Oreochromis niloticus: one gene and its partner. Each later gene encodes a partner of the first gene's protein in a complex. Links are inferred from orthologs where the notes say so. Each region holds a gene or a part of one and is shown on either strand. Other genes may lie near its edges.

What was found. Proteins that work in one complex are often made in the same cells at the same time.
Region 2: rbm8a (region 1) and casc3 share a complex: the UniProt entries of both Homo sapiens proteins name them as parts of the mRNA splicing-dependent exon junction complex. The link is inferred for Oreochromis niloticus from reciprocal best matches to the Homo sapiens genes RBM8A and CASC3.

The regions. Positions count from the first base shown.
Region 1 is NC_031976.2:34,767,433-34,774,501, reverse strand, and holds the start of rbm8a (RNA-binding protein 8A), read right to left. Parts: upstream 3,080-7,069; 5' UTR 3,015-3,079; coding exon 2,948-3,014; intron 2,440-2,947; coding exon 2,380-2,439; intron 2,287-2,379; coding exon 2,209-2,286; intron 1,405-2,208; coding exon 1,268-1,404; intron 1-1,267.
Region 2 is NC_031969.2:34,227,122-34,234,505, reverse strand, and holds the start of casc3 (protein CASC3), read right to left. Parts: upstream 3,001-7,384; 5' UTR 2,965-3,000; coding exon 2,779-2,964; intron 320-2,778; coding exon 295-319; intron 202-294; coding exon 146-201; intron 55-145; coding exon 1-54. UniProt on the Homo sapiens protein: Required for pre-mRNA splicing as component of the spliceosome. Core component of the splicing-dependent multiprotein exon junction complex (EJC) deposited at splice junctions on mRNAs.

The sequences.
Region 1 (7,069 bases):
CCCACTAAATTTTATTTCAGCACGCCTTACTGAAGGATGTCTGCATCCCTGAAATGCAACTGGAAAAGAGAGAAGAGGCATGCTGAAGGAGCTATAATCAAAGATGATCAGATGCATCCTCTGCACAAGTGTTTTTCCCGCATGGAATAAGTGTTATACACAGCTGAAATACAATGACAATGGTGGGATGAGGACTCTACAAATAGCTGTTCCTTTGCATTCATGCAGTTGTTTCAGTTTGGCTGCAGAAACAAACTTGCTCTACTTTACCATTTGTGTGGAATAAAAACAAACAAATGTGTAATATCTGTATATTCCTGATTTGAATTTGGTTAAGTTGACCTAACTATAAAATAGTGTCACAAGCCACTGTTAAACTGACTTATGGGATCATAAAAAACAGACAGCGCACAACAACAAAACACTAAAAGGACAATGAAATGTGCTTTTGGTAAAAATTTGACGTCGTGTGTAAAATTTCCAGTTTGATCCACATCACATGTTAAAAATGAGAACAATCTGATCAGAAAACCAGCAAGCAGGTTACCAATAATTCCATTTTTCACATGAACAGAGGAACAGTATGGGATTGTTAAACCAAAACATAATCCTTTACAGAAATTAAGGACATTTGCAGTATTAAAAATATTTGGATTTAGGGTTTAGTTTAGCGATAATTAGAACAAGTCAGAGAAATGTTGGTTACTTTTTTGGTAACTAACTTGACACTGGCACTTCTCTTTGTATGAAATCAGTTAAAGTGTGACTCGGTGGATGGTCTTGGCTCTGGCTTCTGAGTTTATTCTTCATGGATGGCATCGTGGTGTCATCATTAAGGGTCAAACAAACATGTTATGCAGCCAGGTGTTGTGTATGCAGCTGGAAGGCAACAGTGATCTGTCTGGGCTCAAACCACCTTTACCCCAGAATGAAGCAATGTTTTCAACAAGCCATTTTTTCCCCCACTCAAACACAATTGGATGTAAAAGCCAGTCAAACAAAACAAAAAGAGCCAATTTAACAGTTTAACAGAAGCGTTGTTTGGGGTGTACAATCAGCCTGTCTGAAAGATCTACGGAACAACCCCACGCCTCCCATTCCTCAAAGTATAGCTGCAAACCACACTGAGGTTCAACTCCAAGTAGCGGGCTAGAATCAGGTATCACCAGACAGCGAACCTGTACTAAGCCAGGGTTATCAGCTCACGCACGCACACAAAAAACCCACACAATAATAGTATGTGGTTTTTGTTGTTGTATTTTTTTACCTTAAGGTAACCTGTTCTGCGATCAAGGTTGAGATGGAGGTTTTTGATTTCTCCAAACTCTGAAAACTTGTCATGGATGTCCTCCTCTGTGGCCTCCTCATGTACACCCGTCACAAAGAGGATCCAGCCCTCCACAGCTGCAGCAAGGAAAGGAATCAGCATGTAATGAATCAAGTACCACTTTCAAGTGTATCAGCTTAAAAAAGACAAAAAACAAACAAACAAAAAAAAAGCGCTGTATTTGAGTCATAAATAAAAACTAGTTGTTGACAGTGTGATGCCAAAGGTGCTACGTTGCAATAAAGCATTTAATGTAAAATAAAAAGCTTTGCTTTGATATTAAGTCAATAAATAACAGAAGTGACACTTTTTTGGAAGCAAGTCTGCTTTTTTGTAAATCTGAATGGATTTTAATGGTACCAGCGTAATCCTTCTTTTGCTGTTGATTAACTCTGAGATTTCTATTCACACATGTAGCTTGGACTTTATACTATTGACCAAACTTATCATTACAAGCATTGGAGTTGTAACTCAAAAAAGCAGCAGCATTGTCTTACCGGTTACTTTTAGAAAAGTAATGCATTACTTTACTAATCACAAGTTATTTCATCATTTTACTTTTGCATTACTCTGTAACACAGCCTGTGGTGCTGTAGTGAAAGGTTTATAAATTGACAATTATGAGAAATTGCACCACACAATTGTAATGAGGACAAACACACAAATTATTTTTGTGCTTAAGTATTAAGACAATGACAATTAAGAACATGTATTTAAATAAGTTCTAACATGTTCTACCCAGTAGTGATTATCACATCAACAGCAAATGATGTAAGATTACCCAGAAAACCACTGGTACTTTCTGCTATATCACAGCAAAGCCACAGCCTGCCGTTTCAAGTTCGTGACATAATCCTTTGTTAAACCGTTTCTTTACTCACATCTCTGAGGGCCTGGCTCATCCCCATCTTGTTCCACAGTATCATAGTCCTCTTTGGTTCTGGACCGGGCTCCCTCCTCTGGAAATATCGACAAAGAAACACTTACTGTACTGCATAGCTAAAGTAAGAGAGGCTATGTAAAATATCGCCATCACACCAGGGGTCACTCACCTGAACCGAAGCCTCTTCCTTTCCTCTTCTTGGCTTTCTCTTTCAGCTTGTGGATGCTCTCTAATGAATGAAAGATGAACAAGTCAAAGCCAGCGCACGTCGCTGCAATGCTCTCTTGACTACAAGTTATCAACGAACAAAATTCGCCAATTTAATTCAGCTGACTAGGAACATGTTTAACATGCCCGCTCCCCCCAGTTTGAGCCGCAAAAACAATTACCCGTTAGCTGCACTAACCGCGAATTAGCGTGTTAGCAGCTGCTAACAACCCTCACAATGAGAGTTAAGTTACCGGCCAAGTAAATTTCCCCTTCAAAAAGAAACAGGTGAACTTTAAAGACCTCTATGTCCGTAGCCTCGCTAACTTGTACGGAGCGACTGAATAAATCAACTATACGGCGCTAACTCGCATTAGCATGTTAGCATTGATCGGGCCTGCCACCACGCAGTCTAGCTTTTGTTCCGTTTACGAACATGGCGGCTGCGATTCGGACCTCAATAATTACACATCATTTGAACGCGGGGACAGTAAAGTATTTTCCACTAACAGTGAACATAATATGATTACCATCACCATCCTCATCCATAGGAAAGTCCTCGCCTCCCGCTTCATGAAGGTCCAGCACGTCCGCCATGATGTCTCTGTGTGTATGCGTCTGACCAACGTAACGTACGTACGCAAAAAGCGCTGAGAGGTAGGCGGAAGTTGCCAGTTTGTATAAAATAAAAGTCAATATATTAAATAAAATACACAAATACAAATGAAAATAATATATATATATATTTTTTTAAAGGTAAATGGTAAATGGCCTGTATTTGTATAGCGCTTTACTTAGTCCCTAAGGACCCCAAGGCGCTTTACACTACATTCAGTCATCCACCCATTCACACACACATTCACACATTGGTGACGGCAAGCTACATTGTAGCCACAGCCGCCCTGGAGCGCACTGACAGAGGCACTATTATTTTTATCACAGAAAGTAAAATGGCTCAAATCAATTTACACAAACAGGCACAGTTAGGTTTTTAATGGTGTAGCTTTAAGATACCTGCACTTACAGCACTGTGCAACTTGTCATTTCTCTATATTTTGTTTGGAAAATAAAAAAACTGGTGCAATGGTTTATTGAAACATGTGCAAACCAATGACGCAAACATACATGGAAATACAGTACACACACAAAAACAAGTTTATACAATTCTAACAAGCTTGAAAGGCAGTGTTTGGTGTAACCACCTTTATTCAGTTGAACTCTCTTGGGCACCTTTCTTGTCATTTGTGTAAATAGTCTTCAGGAAAAGTTCTCCAGGCTTCTTACTTCTTGGGACCACCAGAGCCCCAAAGACTCAAATACAACTGCAGCAATGTGCTGTGAGGCAATGTGCAAAAATTGCAGTGATAGTAGAAGAAACCTGATTCATCTACGAGGACCCCACCCAACTCCACTCACTTCCATTGCAAGTGGAGTGTATGATTTAGTTAAAATAAACATATAACACTGCAGCTAATATTTCAGCACACGTGGTATATAATATTAAATACTTTTAAGGTGCACATTTTGAAATAACTTTACAAAGCCATTTTTGTCCATTTGATTTAGATCGTGATCATCAGTATTTCATTTTTTTTTTACTTAATTTCTTTGAGAACTGTAGATAATAATTACATATAGTCTGTACATGCAAAACAAACACAATGTTTTTAAAAAATATTTTCAAATACTTTGATTTTAGCAAGGCAAACAATGGGACATGACATAGACACTCTTTACATATATCATGGGGTTTTCTTGCCATTTCCAATGATTTGTTGCAGAGTACATTAGGGTTTTGTAGAAAACTTTGTATTCAGTGTTAAATTGTCTTCATTTATATTCTGGTGAGATGATTAGAAACATTCACTCACTTGCCGTCAACTGTAATCTGAAGACTTATTAAACATGTCACATTTCAGGGAAAACAGTGTCGTTTATTTGTTCTCTCATCCTGAATTTAAACATTTCCTGTGTTTCTCCAAAAGTTGAATCTGTTCATCTGGACGTAGCGTTTTGTGGGAGAAACGTTTCGTCACTCATCCAAGTGACTTCTTCAGTGTCAGCTGAAGGAACAATGGGCTGTCAGCCCATTGTTCCTTCAGTGGGCTGTGAGGTCCTTCCTTCAGTGGGCTGTGAGGTCCTCACAGCCCATTGTTCCTTCAGTGGGCTGGTTTCAGTCATTATGCAAATGTACTGTTTATAAGGTTTGGGGAAACCTGCAGTCAGCTGACACTGAAGAAGTCACTTGGATGAGTGACGAAACGTTTCTCCCACAAAACGCTACGTCCAGATGAACAGATTCAACTTTTGGAGATTTACTTTCCTGGATGATTGAGAATGCATCAAGACATTTCCTGTGTTTATTACACTGTCATCTAATCGTGCTTAAAATCCACAGCGAGACAGTGTGCCTGAGGTTTATGACTCACATCTTCAAAAATTCATGCTCATTCAATCTCTATTACAGAGATGCTGTGATTTCCGATAACACATCCCATTATGTCTGAGTTACTCTTATGCTTTGACATAAGTATACACAGACTCATTTTCAATTGCTATTCTAATTTCACTGTATGACCTGGAAACAGGAGATGAATGTGTGTATTTTCACTCATAATAGTGTCTGCTTATATTACACTTACTAGTGTGAACTGGCTCTAATATGACTTCTGTATCATATGTAATCTTACCTAGTTTACAGGGAATTGCTGTTCCCTGTCATAAATTACAACATAAGATAAGGCGAAGGTGAAAAGAGCAGCATTTTTTTTTTATCTTCATCCATATTTTAGGCCGTTTTTTGGTTGTTGTTTTTTTTGAGGATTTATGTGTTGAGTTTGTTGAATTTTACTTTAAACAACTAGAATATCTTTGTTTGAGTTTTGGTTTTTGTAAAAAATACATTACAAGACCAACAGAGGGCAGTCATGAATCCACTCACGCTTTTGACCCATGTGTTTGAAAGTCATATAAAAGCTGTTCATGCTTGTATTCTGGTGTCATTCTGGTATACTGAGAGCTATTCTTACTGTGAACTGAAATCAAGTGTCGGTAGAGAAATGACTTCAAGCAATGTGTAATCTGGTTAAAGGGTAAAAGCAAAATAGTAGAAAGATGAAAGTAGTTCTGATAAACATCTTTAGTAAATGTACTGACCCTTATATAGTGCGTTTCTATTCTTGCACAGCACTCCAAGCACTTTATACAACATGCCTCATTCATTCAAGCCCTTTTATTCTACGCTTTCTTGTATCTTGGCCAAGGATAGTTGACATGCAGACTGACCTGCCCTACTTCCGGAGCTACAGCCACCCTTCCAAGCCCCATAGTAAGCATATATTGTATATAAAAGTAAGTGTGGAAGTGCCTTTAACCTGCACTGTGTCTAAGGGCCAGCAGGGAGCGACTCCTTTTGGATACCAACCGGTCGCAGCAGATGGCCTCCCCTCCCTGAGCCTGGTTCTGCCGGAGGTTTCTTCCTGTTAAAATGGAGTTTTTCCTTCCCACTGTCACCAAAGTGCTTGCTCATAGGGGGTCATATGATTGTTGAGTTTTTGTCTGTACCTATGAAGCACCTTGAGGTGACTTTTGTTGTGATTTGGCGCTATATAAATAAAATGGAATTGAATTGAATTGAATATGATTTAGGGCATTCGAGTTTTTATAGCTAGTCCAGTGTAGTTCTTAGAGGGGAATCAAAGTATTTGTAAGATCTGCCAGATGGTGGATTCATTTAAGTACACTAATGTGAATATTGTGTAGAACAGGGGTGTCAACATGTGCTGCGCAGGCTTACCGAAGGGTCTGGTCTGGCCTGTTGGACGGCTTTGCAAACTGTGAAAATTGCTGAAAAAAAAGTATAATTTCACTGTGATCTATAAGTTTTAATGTACATGTAATGACATTAAATTGAGTGTGAGAAACAGACATTCTTGCAAAAAAGTCCAGCTTAAAATCAAACATCAAATCTTGTGCAAACTACCTCTGTATTAACATTAAAGGCAAATCCTCTGTGCAATAAGCTGCATTTGTCCAGTTCCAGTTGTCCAGATCACCACTTATTTTGACTTCAGCTGACTTTGTTCCAGTTTCTCACAGTGCAAATGTGTTTTGAAAGAAAAAAATAACACCCAAAGCATTTTGGGCACTACAACACATCAGACTTAACACAAGCAAACATCACAAAGACAGTTTTTACATGCTACAGATATGAACGTTTCTTTGTAATCACTTTATTATGCTCAAAGGGGTGCAGTGCAATATCAGGAGGTACAAAGACAGACAGATATGCAGGTTGCCATAGTGACACTACAGACACACAATGTCCAACCTTGCCTGCTGCTGTAACAATAAAGGGTGAAAAAGGGAGCACAATGGGTTTAAAGAAAAAGATAACACTTCACAAATAATTTTAACAGTCCAAAGATTTATTCAGCAAGATTAAAGGAACTGTGGGTTTTTTTCTCTTTTGTAGGTGGTGATACATGTCCCCATCTTGATTGTTTTGATGTGACTTACCTGGTTTTTGACTGGTCTGCAGAGATGTGTGCCTTCTCGTGAGTATAACAGAGTGAAATGACACTCACCATGTGTTGGTTAGAGTGCCACAAACATATATCTGAAAAGCCCAGCGTATAGTCGCTTTTCAAAAA
Region 2 (7,384 bases), on another chromosome or scaffold:
TGCCGGAGCTTCCTCGTCGCTGTACTGCTCTGCTTCCTCTTCCTCCTCCACTCCCTGAGGAGGACACAGTTTTAGGAGAAACACTCCCTAAAGAGGCTAAACAAGACGTCACAGCCGAGAGAAAGCAGCGAGTCGGCGGTCGTACCTCTGAATGCGATCCGTTGTCCTCGGGGTCGGCGCTGTCGTAATCTGAGAGGACGGCTGAAAAACAAAGAGGAGGAGTGAAATCACCCAACAGCAGCCTGATTTCCCAGATTGTGACTTCAGTGTGGTGCTCACGAAGAAGTCGCTTACCTTCTCCAACGCCGTCTTCGCTCTCCTGCAACAACAAAGAAGAAAACCAGCGTTAAGCTCCTGCAGCTCCAAAGCGCCGAGGATCAGACGCGTCTGTGTGTCAGAGCCTGAGCTCTGCTGCGAGTATGTCACAGAGCGCCGTGCACATTATTCAGCTTCCACCTTTAACTGTACAGACCACCAACAGCACAGCTCGGATTACTTCAGCAGAGTCTGAACGCAGCTCAAAGATCCGAGTTTATCAAACGTCTCACTAGGGCTGTTCGATATAACGATATATATCGGATGACGATAGAAAAACGTCTATCGTTTCATTTTACGCTATCGTTTGTTTCGTGGTGTCGCAAAATAAACTGTTTACGGCAATATTTTTTCATTATTTTGATGGTCACTGTAGTGGCTATATGAATTTCCTAAAGTTCTCTCTTTCTCTTATATTTAATATAACCACACTACAGACGGACAAGCGCCTGTTTTTATGCGTTTTCGTTAGCAACAACGACGGTAAAACCACCTCGTGTCCGCTTGTTTATTTTCCACATAAACCTTTCACAATAAAGCTCAAGATCCTGTTGAGGCTTTTCAAAATAAACTGAATCACGTGAAAGATGCAGAGTGTTTACGGATGAGAAGCAAAAAAGAGCCGTCAGGTGCTAAAAAATAAACCTTATACTCAAACGTTAGAACAGGCTTTTCCCCGCAGCACGCCGTGTAATAAATACTCACAAAGAAAACGGCGGCCGTTACAACCTATGTCTACAAATGTATCGTTTCATGCATCAGTTAAAACACTCGACTCCAGGTACGCGACGCCCAGCTGGAAACACTTCACGCAAGTCGAGCTGCCCGACATTCACAGAATTTACAGAAAATGTTACATTTTTGTGATTTTATATCGTTATCGGACGATAGATGTCTTAATATCGGGATATGAGATTTTGGTCATATCGCACGTCTCACAGAGTCAGTCTCTTTAAACCTCTTTACAGATGAGCTCGGTCTGATCTCACGCTAACAGCTGGATTCACTTTGTGTCTGTGTTTTTCAGCAGCAGCGCTGATACAGCAGGGTGGAGCGTTCTCACCTGTAACACCAGCACAGCTCCTCTGGGAGTTTGAACAGTTAATTTACCTGCAAACGGTCGAGTGAGTTTATACCAGCGCAAAGAACCAATATTTAAAATATGTGAAGAAATCATGACGAGGTGCCGTCAGCTCGCCTGTGTGAGTGAGCGACTGAGACCGAAAGACTCTCACAGACCAAGAAAGATCAGCGTCTTCCTCACAGTGAAGACCAGCCACAGGCCACTGCCCTCCAAGTGCCGTCCCAAGCACAGACACATGGGAAGGGTCGTGTCAGGAAGTGCATCTGGATTAAAAACAGAATTTACAAGAGTGAAAAGGAAGGTTTATGAGAAGGTCGTGAGACCTGCTGTGATGTTTGATTTGTGGACAGCGACTGAGCGTCAGAAATGAGTGACAACTCTGAGTCACAGAGGGTCTGAGCATGTGCAGAGGAGGGAGGGCGGATGATAAAAAAAGTGAGCTGCCAGGCAGGGGGAGACAAAGAGGACCTCAGAGGAGGTTCATGGATGTTGTGAAGGAGGACATACAGAGGGGTGGAGTGACAGAGGAGGATGCTGGGACAGGAGGAGGTGGAGGCAGATGAGCTGCCGTGACGACCCAAACAAGAGCAGAGATCAGATGAAGCAGAAGCCTGTAAACTGGGAACCAAAGTAACAGAGCTTAAACACAGCAAACGTCTGAAATCACAGGCAGGACTCACATTTCACTTCAGCACACTTATCAACAAGCCTGCTGCTGATTGGTTCTTACTAATCTGTCGTTTCATGTTTGTTGTCATGTAAACAGCCTGGAGCCAATAAACCCGCCTCAGCCTGCACTGCGGTCGGACCGAATCAGTCATGTTTCCCCCCGCTGCGGGGACCAAAAACGGCAGCTAAACACCACCACAGGGGCCCAGGATGATCTCAGACAGATCCACGGCCACAAAATGGAGGCTCAGCCCAGAGCCTCTCTCAGACCTCGGGTCACGCGGAGGTGCGTGATGCAGCCAGCCCGGGGGTCCCGGACATCACTCTCACGCCTCGGTGTTGTGTCACGTTTGGTGTCCGTGTTAGTTTGAGCCTTTCCGGCTCGGACACAAGCGCTACAGCGAGCTACTCGGTCTGTTCCAGCTCGAACCGCCAGGCTGGCCGGGGTCATGGACCAGAACCGTCCGACGGAGCGGTTACAGAGCGGAGCCGTTACCTTCGAGCTAACGCCGAACAAACACCGAGCTGTCTGTGGGACTCGAACACGTCACCCGCTGTTTTATCCAGGGTTCATTTTCCACAGTGACCCGAGCCCGGAGCGGGTCTCGGGCCCGGAGTAAATGCTCTAACGCCCGAAAGCTCGGCTCTGATCTCCCGCCCGGGACCGGGTGAGCTCTGGGAGCTAACGTTAGCTGCTAGCTGGTACTCACACACTCGGACTCCACGTCGCTCTTCGCCGGGACCCGGCTCGCGGTCGGTTCCGCCGGGTCGGGCTCCCGTCCCCGGGGCTTCGAGGACGGGGACCCGGACCTCCCGCTGTCCGAACCCGACCCGGACTCATCGTCATCCTCGCTGTCCTGGGACGCGCGCCTCCTCCTTCGCCGCCGGTCCGCCATCTTAGGACTCGAATGGTTGGAAACGGAAGAAGCAGAGGATTATGGGTATCCGAGTTCTTCTTCAGTGAGATAATTAAGAGCACCTTTTTCTCTCTACCGCCATCTACTGTTTGTAAACTTTTACTAACACGCTTGAAAATGCGACAAAATAAATAAATAGAAAATAAAACATAACTTGTACAACAGAAACGAAACAAACTGGGTAATAAAAATCAAAACAGAAACAATAAACAGAGTTCTGCAGGTCTGACTTTAGTAAAGTAAATGTCCTGACATGCAGAATGTATTCAGGTAAAAGTACTTAAAGTATTTAAAGTATCTGGATGTGCAGCTGATGGATGATGCACCAAAGCTTCAGCAGCATGTTTCTGCAGACAGGCGGTGGATCTGAAACGTGAGCGTCTCCCTCCAAACCAACAAAGAAGTCTGTTTTTATTTTATTTTATTTTAACGTTTTGGTCAAGCTTACATTACGTTTGGATTAATACTGAGCTCTGAGTTTCAGTGTTGTTGTATTGCAGTAAAAGCTACATGTTTGTAGTTCGACACAGCAACAGGTGACGAGAAAAAGGTGATATTTTACAGGTATGTACCTGAACCTGAGGAACAGGTAAGACGTCAGAGTAGCGCATTTCCGTCGGTCACCACTAGACGGCGCTGCTGACTACATTCAGAGCTGCAGAGATGCCGAGCTCAGAGCAGAATAACCTGTCTCCACAGTGAGTCTGAGGCCTCAGGTGAGCACCATCGGTTAAACCCTCCACCACGTCGCTCTCTGAAGAGCCCAGCACTGCATCTGTGCTTTTTAAGGATCTGCCTGTACCAGACAGCAGCTTTAAGTTTGTTTTAGTTTGACTTCCTGTATGTCTTCACCTGCGTGCTGTTCCCTGTCTGTTTCCTATCCCCAGTTAGTTCCCACTGTTTACACAGACCTGAGTTCCCTTCATCCCTGTCAGTGTGTCCTGGCCTCACTCCTTGTTGTACTCTCTGTTATCAGGGCTCTAAACTAACTTTTTCACATGGGCGCACCGGTACGCCTAACTTTAAAAATTTAGGCGCACCGGCACAAAATTTAGGCGCACTCAAATTTTTCAACCGCATCGCTTAACACCGCAGTTTTACATGTGCACTTTCTTTGGGGGGAAGTCCATACAGACAATATTAATTTCTAAATTATTAACTAACAAACTTGTGCTTAAAGTGCTTTGTCAATATTGTAGAAAATGTTAAACTTAATCATCACCTCGGCCTCCTCTGACGACCTGTTTGCTGCTGCCTGCTGCTGAAAGGCAGTGGGGAGAGGGGACACTTGGGCAGTGCATTTATTGCAGCATATAATGTGTTTTCTGGATGCACTGCTGCTTTTTCAGCATTCAAAGATTGATGGCACCGTGTCAGAGCTGGCTATGAATTTCAGACGGATCAGTCCTTAACTTAACACAAAAGTTATCAATAGTTCTTTTCATCTTTTCTTATTACCCACAGCTACATCCACTTCTGTCAGGCCTAGGCTGCTCACTAGGGCTGAGTATCATCACTGATTTCTATAATCCATTCGATTCCGGTTCTCAAAGTCCTGATTCGATTCAATTTAGCCTCAGACAGTCAGAAATATTATAATTCTGATCATTTATCAGCACTGATACACATGAGACTTCATCAGAATTGTGAACATCACAGCAGATGCCTTTGTGTCAAAGTAACTGAGAATAAAACACAGAAAAACATGAAGGAGATTTTCCTGGTCTGGCGTTTTATAGCAGATAACCTTAAAAATATTCTGCAATTTTGCATAATTTTAAGAAGTTTAAATTTCTTCAGTACTGAACAGCAGAAATTAGGCTTTCTTGTCCGAGGTCATTTAAGTGAAAAAAGAAAAAGAAAAGAAAAAGACAGCGGCCGACAGCGCTGTAAACAACGGTAGACTGGTGGGTAATAAGCGAATAAATAATGCAGAAAACAGAGATTTGAGACGGGAAACTGTTCTTGAAGTACAGAGAGAGAGAGAGAGAGAGGGAGAGCTGTGCATGAAGTGTGATTTTTATCGTGGTGGAAGCAAAACAGCAAAAGTCAGAGGGAATTCATGACGACATTGATCAAATGTGAAGCGTAGTTTGCTGCTTCTTTTGCTGCTGGCTCGGCGAATTTTGGTTGGAGAGACAAAACCTGCAGCTCAGAATCAGCGCAAAAAAGAGGAAACACAGCGCAGACCCGACGCATCAGAATCACTAAGCTCCGACAGCGTGTCCGTGTTCGGGCCGTGGGGTGAGAAAGCCGAGAAAGACAAAGCTGATTCTGATGCGTCGGGTCTGTGTTTACGTCTTTGTGTGGAATCCTTAATGAAATGATATCACTTTATTCAAGCTACTCACCTCTCTCTTCCACCTGCACTTTCAACTGGACCACGGCCAATCAGAGAGGTCCCGCCCCTGACTATCTCTGATTGGTTTAGTCCACGATAGGGGCATAATGTGTGTCTGTTGTTGACCACACGGACAGTTGCAGAGATTTTTTTTTTTTTTTGTTACCCGAAAATATTTGGTCACACCGGTGCGACCAAATATTTTTTTTTGGTCGCACCACTGAAAAATTTGGTCGCATTTGCAACCAAATTGGTCGCACTCTAGAGCCCTGCTGTTATCCCTGTGATGCACATTTCTCCACATGTAGGACACTTCTGCTGTTGTTCCTATAGTTGAGTTTATTAGGAGAGTAAACACATTTATCATCATGCTAATAAGCTGAAGGGAGACAACATTTTCACAGCTTTAGATCACTGATAACATCCAACAGGTAATCGAAGGCTATTGTTTTGCAAAAGTGTAGCGTTAAAGGATCCTGACCATTTCCTATAATTGCCTTTTCCCCATATGTAACAGAACCTTTACTTTGAAAATTAGGAATTTCCTGACACTCTGTTCCTCAATTAAGAAAATAATTGGCCTTTCAGTGACCCCAGAATACATGTTGGTGTTTATCACCTGGTGTGCCCACAGACAGATACACAGACACTGACAGACTCGTGGATAACTGGCTTTAAATGTGAGCGAGTTAACTTCAGTCTGATAATCATAATTAACCACATATCTGAGAAAGAGACACGTTCCTGAAAACACATGAAAACTATCAACCAATCAGAGGGAGACAGAGGAGATGATGACCTAAGCAGCAGTTATTTGTTCTTTAACAGACAAACTAAGTGAAATCACGAATCAGGTGAACTCCGACACACTCAGGTGACCCCTCTGACTGACCAGCTGTGGCAGATCCTCTCTGACTTTGCTGAAGTGCTGCTCAATCTGCTTCTTCTGGCTGTCGTAATTTTCCTCATAATAAATCTTTAACCTTTTAGAAAGTGGGACAAGGCTAACAGCAATAGCTGTACGTGAACCCTCTTCTGAAATAAATTTGTTAAAACGTTCTTTGTCCAGTTCGTATTTATTCTCCATCTTGTGCTTTTCGAACAGCAGCTCAAGCTCGCGTTCATACACAGAGATGAGAGTGTCCACAGGTCCGCAGGTCTGTAGCCCTCCCAGTCTCACCAGGTGGATCCGCACCTGGATGTGGAAGGCGGCTCCGTTCACCCAGGCCCTCAGAGCTCGTGACGACATCTGTCCGTCCCTCATCATGGAGCTCTTCAGCCTGGTGAGCACGATGCTCAGCTGGTGCTCGATCCATCTGATGTTGTTTATGAGCTCTGCATCATCATTTGTGTGCATCATGCATCTCTTCAGACACTCGTCAATCTGATGCCACACCTCAGAGGCCTTCTGCTCTGCAAAGACGCACCGCAGAGCCTCCTTTGTGCTCTCTGAGCTTGAAATGATGTCGATGAAGATGGTGAAGGCCAGCGCTCCAAGCCCCGCCAGCTTGACACTACCTGACAGATTAGCCAGCTTCTCAGCGAGATCCTTGAGCCAATCATCAACGGGATAGCTCTGCTGTTTGGTCTTGCTGAGGTGCTGCAGAGCTTCACTATGGCTTCATTCACCGTCAAATCTGGACATTTCACGCACGTCTTCATCATTTTTCTCAGAGCCTCCTCTGTATTCTTCTTCTTCATCTCTCTAGACATTCTCAGATCCATTCTGCTGCTTCGCTCTGAAACATGCAAAAAGTGAGACTGGTGAAACATCTGTGAAATGTCTGAACCCTGGAGGCTTCTGGGTCGTCCCTGGGCCTCTGCAGGATTTGACCTCTAACAGCAAACACAGGAGCTCTGTGTCGTGAGCTAATGTGCTGTTTGATAAAAATCTTTTGGCTAGCCGTACGCTGTCCTGTCATAATGAGCTGCCTGATCCATGAAGCTCAGGTGGTTGTTTTTTAGATTTAGCTTCACCTTAAACAACAAATAAAGCTGCAGCAGCTTTGTGCTCTCGGCTTCCTGCGGATCTTTGTCTACTGCGAGTCTGAAACATGA